Linked DNA regions of Bombyx mori. The protein of the gene in region 1 interacts with the protein of each later gene in a biochemical or structural test. Links are inferred from orthologs where the notes say so. Each region holds a gene or a part of one and is shown on either strand. Other genes may lie near its edges. The genes, in order: hydroxyacyl-coenzyme A dehydrogenase; trifunctional enzyme subunit beta, mitochondrial.

Region 1 (3,830 bases):
AACGGTAGGTTCTTGATAATTAAACATGATTATCACTATGTCTATTCATAATGCTTTGAAACAAAAAATAATGTGTAAATGAAATAGTTAAGCCATATATTAACTAACTAATAATCATGTTGCATTCTGACGATGAGCATGCAGTTAGCAATGATCTACAAGATCCACTAAATTCAAAAATTTCTAAAAAAAAAATTATTCCACACTCCACTTATGTCATTAGTGTATACGGCAGACTGTATGAAGGTAGTAGTTAAAATAGCTCGTCGTACAAGTAAGGAAAGCCGCCACTCATTTTAAGACATATAACGAAGTCGCCGTTGAATTAGAAAACCTCAGGTAACCAACAGTTAGCTCGCCCTTTCGTGGAAATGATGCCAACCCGAACAATTTTATGTAATTAAAGTAATTTAATAAGTAATTTGTTATAGTACTGATTGTTGATTCTGCTAATAAATTCAAAAGCCCATACTCCTTTGACACAACTTTTTAATTTGTCTAAACTGTAACTTTTAGTTAGTACTTCATTTTATTGAAAATTTTTATAGATTGGTGTTCTTGGTGCCGGTTTGATGGGAGCAGGTATAGTGCAAGTGTCAATCGACAAAGGCTACAATGTCGTAATGAAAGACGCCACTAATGCAGGCTTGTATCGCGGCGTTGGACAAATTCAAACCGGACTAAGTAATGCTGTGAAACGCAAAAGAATTTCATCGTAAGTAAATAATTAATTTTCGACTTCCCCCCTTATTTTACAGAGTTTTCATCAAATATGTATGTTGGATTAGAGCCAGGGATTCATTTACATTAATTTTAATTGCAGTCTACAAAAGGATAAGTACTTATCGAATCTACTTCCTACATTGGACTATGCCAAGTTCAAAAATGCGGATTGTGTAATTGAAGCCGTTTTCGAGGATATTAACATCAAGCACAAAGTTATCAAAGAGTTAGAGGCTGTAGTGCCGAAACATTGTATTATAGCTACAAACACTAGTGCTATACCTATTACAAAAATCGCAGCTGGCAGCAGTCGTCCTGATAAAGTAATTGGTAATTATCAAAAAATTATAATTTTTTTTCATTATTCTAGTATAAGTCAGTGACTCAAACCAGTAAACGGGGTTCAAAATATATATTTTTTAAGTTATTCATTATTGACATAGGGCCCGTAAATATTTCCGACACAAAAATACAATAATTAATTACTGAAAAAATATCTATTCGCCAAATCTAAAATCGACTCAACCACCACATTCAAAAAAAAAACAGATTTCCTTTTTGGCAATATAGCACATATAAAAAAACATAGCCTTCTTTTCAAAACTTTCATTCCTTTTTTAAATTACAGTAGAATCCGGATATAACGACCTTCAAGGGACCGGCGAAACTATGTCGTACTAACCGGATGACGTACAAAACGGCAGAATTATATCTTAAGTACATATGTTAAGTACATATGTTTATCCAACTCATGGAGCATGTAAAAATTTGCATGTCTAACTGTATAGCGAAAAATTGCTTTCTCTTGTAGCAGAGGTACATTCACGGGTATTCCCCAGTCGCGCTGAAGCTCGAACCACTTGAACAATGCCTTATCCACCGACTTATGAGTATAAGTCTATACACGTTAGTATTTTAAAACATTGGCATTAAACAGCGGCTCGATCTTGTCTTTATTCTCCTTTATTGTTGATATTGTAGAATGAGATACGCCAAACTCCTTTGCGAAGGTTGCATTTGTTTCACCGGCTTCTAATCTGAGTGAAGTTGGGGCACTGAGGTATTGGTAGTTTATGTAAACAAAACATTGTGCGTCGTTTTAACCGAACGTATCATCATAATATTCATAATTAAGGGTCGCTATAAGCAGTTGGTCGCTTAAAACGGAGTCGCACTAAACGGTTATATTTTCTCAGTACCTAACTATGAAACCTAACTTGAATAATCATGATCGTCGTTAAAAGCGGTTGGTCGTTATAAGCGAAGTCGTTGTATATGAATTCTACTGTACAATCTTAATTTGAACCTTTTTTTTTGTTTCAGGCATGCATTACTTCTCACCAGTTGACAAGATGCAATTGCTAGAAATTATTAAGCACCCCGGCACCAGCGACGATACATCGGCAGCCGCTGTGGCCGTAGGTCTACGACAAGGAAAGGTCGTCATCACGGTGGGGGATGGGCCTGGTTTTTACACCACACGTATCCTTTCTACTATGCTTAGTGAAGCAGTAAGGTGTGTTACATGTCATTTTAAAATTAATTAAATTAAACTAATTAAACCAATTTGGCTTCTAAAATGCTGGCAGTCTTCACAGAGCGAAGCAATATATACCGTTTGGGTAAAAACTTGTGCTTTACAAATCACAGTTTTGATATCATCTATACTAATACTAATACTAATATAATATTATAAAGAGGAAAGATTTGTTTGTTTGTTTGTTTCGAATAGGCTCCGAAACTACTGGACCGATTTGAAAAATTATTTTTCCATTAGAAGCCGACATTGTCCCTGATGAACATAGGCTACTTTTTTTAATTTTTTTTTTTATTTTTTTTTTTTGCTTTCATGTGTGTTTTAATGTTTCCGAAGCGAAGCGAGGGCGGGTCGCTAGTGTGAAATATTTATTTCATCCTCGGCTGGTAATCCATGTCAATTTAAGAGAGCTATCCAGATATACGATTTCGAAGATCATTTGTGGGGCATTTCATTTTTCTCGACTTTCTGTACTGTATGTACTGTGGAAGAGTGTTTTGAGGAATTATCTAAAGCTGCTACGATCATCTACAATTAGATTTCCAAAAATAAAATCTTCCACATGCCCCTGACTATGTAATAAACTCTGTTCCTCAATATTTCCTAAAACTAATAGTCAAATCAATTAATGAATCATTATTTCGCGGCGGTAATAAGCTGGTGATGCCTTTCCGTACGGTTCCAAAACACACACTAACATCAGTTAATTGCAATATCAGTATTTAACGATATATTTATCTATTTATTACTAATACATACTTTTTTTGTATAGACTGCTACAAGAGGGTGTTGATCCTAAAGAACTGGATAACATGACAAAGCAATTTGGTTTCCCTGTCGGCGCTGCTACATTGGCTGACGAAGTTGGTATCGATGTCGGCTCTCACATCGCTGTGGATCTAGCCAAGGTTAAAAATGTTAAAGGCTCTAATAGTAAATGTCAGAACTATTTTTGTATTTGTTAACTAAAACTATATTGCAATTAAAACAGGCCTTTGGTGATCGCATTAGCGGAGGAAACTTGGGTATCATGCAGGACTTAGTGCAAGCTGGATACATGGGACGCAAGTCCGGCAAAGGTTTCTATGTGTATGAAAAAGGCTCTAAAAACAGGGAAGTAAACCATGGTGCTATTAAAATCCTGAAAGACAAGTATGCATTAGAACCTCGTGGTGCTAATACTGTTGAAGACCAACAACTGCGAATGGTTTCCAGGTATTTTTGACTTCTTGTTTAAAATTATATAACATGACCATAGTGAAGTTAAGTGTTGTGGAGAATAATTATTCTTATTATTTATAACAGATTTGTAAATGAAGCAGTGTTATCATTGGAAGAAAAAATTCTACACAACCCCCTTGAAGGTGATGTTGGTGCGGTCTTTGGTCTCGGCTTCCCTCCATTTACTGGTGGACCTTTCAGGTAATTTATAAACTAGGTTTTAGGAGTTCACTAGGCATTACACATTTAGATATATAAACAATAGATTAAGGTTGCCCTAACAAATATACACAATTGCTAATCAACACACTCTAATATCATTTATTTTCTAGATGGGTGGATCAATATG
Region 2 (4,436 bases), on another chromosome or scaffold:
TTCAATTTAAAAAAAAAACAATGGTTTTTTGTAGATTTTTTTTGTTGTCGACTCGGAGATTTTACTAGTGGTAGGACTTCTCATGAGCCCGGAACAGGTAGGTATCACCAGCCTGCCTGTTTCTATCGTGAGGCAGTACTGCGTTTCAGTTTGAATAGTAGGGTCTGTCTACTATATAACTGAGTTTAACAATTCATGTCTCAAGATGGGTATTTACGTTGATGTTGAAGGGCTCCGGTAACCATTTAACACCAGGTGGGCCTTACCCACCGATCTAGGGAATTAAAAATCAAATCTGTCACAAATCACAATTACAACATCTCCATTATGTGGAGAGATGGTGGATCAAGAGATATAAAGAAGTTTAAAGAAAACTAATGAATGGCTGAGTTATGACTATATGTACTCAAATCAATTTTTATTAAAAATGTTTAAAAAAATATTAAACATTTTGGTTGTTGAGTTTAAGATTGACGAGATATCTGTAGATCTTTATGATAATTAAAACACAGATGTGGTAATCATTATCATATACAAAGAATGAGATGCAACTATATTATAAAAAACACAAATAAATTGTAGCCCTCACCAGTGGTGATTGCCTGGTTAGAAGAGATGCAAGCCATGGTGACGGTGTGCGCTGGAGTCCTGTCGCTGAACCCAGCCGCCAGGGCTGCCTCGCGCCCTATATTTGAAGTTTTCACCTCTTGGATCACGGTGCCATATACAATGTAGTCAATGACATCCTTCGATATACCAGTCTTTTGTAGGAGACCACTATGAAAATAGACATAAGACACAAAATAAAGATCTCTGTAGTGTACTAGTGATGGTACTTATTCTCCTTCATAAAAAAAAATTACTAAGTGCTGGGTTTTTAAAACATAAACACACAGCAATCAATTAAGCAAATGACTTCATGGTTGTTGTGCAAGTATACAGACTTGGTGAAGATTGTTAAAAAATACAATTCTACCCTTCTTTCTTTTCAGGTTAAAATCTTACATATTTCATATACTGTCTTACATTACTTTAATATACATTAAAAATGAATATTAATAAAAGTCGTCATCGCCTAAAGGATAAGACGTCCAGTATATTAGTATTGATAGATGCAACGGCGTTCGAATCCACTTTACTTAACAAATGTTCACCACGATTGACTTCCATGGTGAAGGAATAACATCGTGTAATAAAAATCAAACCCGCAAAATTATATTTTGCGTAATCACTGGTGGTAGGATCCATTGTAAGTATGCACTGGTAGGTACCACCACCTCGCCTATTTTTGCAGTGAAGCAGCAATGCGTTTTGGTTTGAAGGGTGGGGCAGCCGTTGTAGTGTCGAGTTTCAAGGTGGGTGGCGGCATTTACGTTGTAGATATCTATGGGCTCCAGTAACTACTTAACACCAAGTGGGCTGTGAGCTCATCCATCCAACTATGCAATAAATAAATAAAATTAGTTGTGGCCTAGAGAATAAGATGCCCTGTGCATTATTATAGAGTAATGCTACTGTATCAGTTATCCAATCCCACAGTCAAGTACTAATTGGACAACAAAGGAATAACATAGAGCAAAAATACATCCTGTTTTTTTTTGTGTGATATTTATTTGTGATAGCAATTTGGCACCAAGTGGGCTCTGAGCTCGTCCAGCCATCTAACCAATAAATCCAGATACTTCAAAAAAGTAGCTCGCTCGTAACAGAATAAAAACACAAAAAAGAGGCCACCAGACTATGTTGGAAATTTGACGCAGTCAGTTGACATCACCAGTTAGATACCTAGAGAAAGACCCAAGATAAGTTGGTAGTGCTGAAGGAGAAGAGGGTATTCAATGTCACTGACGATGATGTCAAAGACAGCTAAGTAGAGGAGAAAATTAAAGAAAGCTGACCAACCAACATGTGATATACATAGTTAGAAAGAGGGAGACAGCGAGATTGCTTAACTATTTTAGTCCCTCTCAAAGTCTTATGAAAATAAAAAAATATATATATGTTAATCAAGATTACCTTTAATCTTGTCTTATTAATAAATCTTTAAAATCAACTTACAGAAGTGCATGTCTTGCTAGTTCATGGGGCATCATCCTGGCATAATCGGTGAATGAAACAAGGAATGGAGTGCGGACTCCATCGACAAGCACCACATTCTTGCCTGTACGGTCTGGGAGAGATTTCTTCTGCTGCAGTACTGGCGCTACACTCAGCGCTCGTCTGGCAGTATCTATTATAAAAAAAAGTCATTTTATATTACCACATAAAATATATTGGGCGAAAAGCTAAAAACTTGTCAATGTTTAGCCCAATTAAACATTCAAATACTTTTGTTTAGATCAAAAATAAAATATTTGTACAAATTCTAATTAAATCAGGTTCGGTTTCTATTACATGATGATGTTCCTTCATTGTGGAAGTCGTGTGTGGGCTGTGTGTATTGTCTGTGTACGTATTGTTTGTTCTATTTCATAGTAAAGTTTGTATGTTGCCTTAAATTTATTTTGTCTAAGAAATATTAGACAAAACATTGAAGTTCCAAAATAAATGTCAGGACAAAACATTTTCTATTAATATAATTTGGCAACAAACAAGCAAATTTATAAACAAGTCTGCCAGGATCACAGTCCAAAGTTTGCTTTTCAAAATTATAGATAAAACAACCGATTTGTTACATAAACATGTTTTAATATGCTTTGATGGTCGTAACTGGACTCTTGTTTTGGGACGTTATTGTATATTTATCGTAAATTAATTGTATAATTTGCAACTTACCGAACTTAACAGTAGATCGTACGTGGTTTGCTTTTATCAATGATTTAGCGACTTGTGAAGCCATTTTAGTACGGCACTTCGGACAATTTTTCTTTAAACAGTGAAGATTTCTGCAATAAAATGCTAACGTTTAAATATTAATTAAATTAAAATATAAAAACTTCAAAATAATTGTATTCTATTTAGTGAAAAAACTTGGAGAGTTGGACTCTGACCTATTTTACACCACAGATCAAGAAAGCGTTTTGGGGTTACCGCTTCATTTTCGTAAAAAGCCGCTATTGGTGAAAAGCTACTCTTTGCTATTTTCATTTTGTCTATTAAGCGGATGTAAGCGGAGGTTATGAATTAATCATACGATATCATAAAGTCATATCTATCAGACCATGGAGAGATAGCAAAATATCTTTTAAAACCAAAATGAGACTTGTCCGAACTCTAGTGGTCTCAATGCTTCTCTATGGTGCTGAGACGTGGACTCTGAAATCAGCTGATCGCCACCGCATTGGTGCCTTCGAGATGTGGTGCTGGAGGAAGATGCTATGAATCTCGTGGACAGCATATCGGACTAACGGATGGATATTAAGACGGTTCTATATCTAAACCAGGCTCTCTACCATCTGCCTCAAGAGGATATTTGACGATCTTGACGATTTTGAAAAATTTATAGTAACTGGGAAGATTGCAGGCAAAAGGTCTCGTGGCCGCAATCCAATGCGCTGCAGCGCTGGTCCGACCAAGCCCGCACTACTCTGGATACCACCGTCTACGATGCTATACACACCGCCGAGAACACAGAGGAAGATGGCGAAACATCATCTAGAGAAGGATAATGAGAGGAGATGGTCACGGTCTTCAGATATGAGGAATGTGACACAGGGAGGAGGATCATAAAATAATGCAAATATCAACTGCTACTTAATTCTTAACCCTGGTAGTGGCTGAAACATTACTTTTTTGTTTACAGGGAAGATTATAACCTGTGCTAACTAGGTAGTGCCTTAAAGATGGATTTTAGGGAAGTAGTACCAGTAGCTTGAAGTTTGTATGTAATCACGTTACCCACACAATCAGATTGTTACTATGCAGTATATTATAATTAAGATTCAAAAACTAATTTCAATACTTTCTATGATTAAAAACGTGATCTTTTCTTTTTCTAATTAATCCATTATCTGTTGTTTTTTTCTTTTTCTTGTATCACTGTAAATGTCATATTTGACTCTAAACATTTCGTTACAATTTATTTACGTCCATTAACGACTCGACTTTTAGCCACGATTGCTTTTAATCGTTCCCTATTTTTCTATGAAAAAAAGAGTGAAACTTTGTAACGGCTTTTAAAGACTTTAAAATAATCCTAAAAACTAAGCATGTCAATCAATTTTGTTTCATTTCCTCTAATTTCAGTACATCCAAACACTAAGCAGATCTATTATTTATTAGACACGGTTTTAACATGTTTAAGCCCTTTAATAATATTATTTAAGAAGCGCTGAGTTGGTCTGAAGTTTGAAACTGATGTCTACACTACAATTCATGCTTTCGCTTAAAAATACAAACAAATGCAACTCTTAGAACAAACAACAAATGCATCTATTTGTACTCTTCTTTTTTTTTCAGTATAGCAATCGAGATGCCATTGTTTGCCAGTTTCGAGG

The links.
Region 2: the proteins of hydroxyacyl-coenzyme A dehydrogenase (region 1) and trifunctional enzyme subunit beta, mitochondrial are reported together in a solved structure, tested with the Homo sapiens proteins (2 studies listed by IntAct, with this or other methods). The link is inferred for Bombyx mori from reciprocal best matches to the Homo sapiens genes HADHA and HADHB.

Annotation. Positions count from the first base shown.
Region 1 is NC_085110.1:11,342,745-11,346,574, forward strand, and holds part of hydroxyacyl-coenzyme A dehydrogenase, read left to right. Parts: coding exon 1-4; intron 5-548; coding exon 549-715; intron 716-823; coding exon 824-1,053; intron 1,054-2,046; coding exon 2,047-2,239; intron 2,240-3,032; coding exon 3,033-3,168; intron 3,169-3,251; coding exon 3,252-3,475; intron 3,476-3,565; coding exon 3,566-3,682; intron 3,683-3,813; coding exon 3,814-3,830. UniProt on the Homo sapiens protein: Mitochondrial trifunctional enzyme catalyzes the last three of the four reactions of the mitochondrial beta-oxidation pathway.
Region 2 is NC_085126.1:9,562,191-9,566,626, reverse strand, and holds the start of trifunctional enzyme subunit beta, mitochondrial, read right to left. Parts: upstream 3,114-4,436; 5' UTR 2,991-3,113; intron 2,984-2,990; exon of another isoform or gene 2,962-2,983; intron 2,886-2,961; 5' UTR 2,840-2,885; coding exon 2,776-2,839; intron 2,231-2,775; coding exon 2,059-2,230; intron 778-2,058; coding exon 590-777; intron 1-589. UniProt on the Homo sapiens protein: Mitochondrial trifunctional enzyme catalyzes the last three of the four reactions of the mitochondrial beta-oxidation pathway.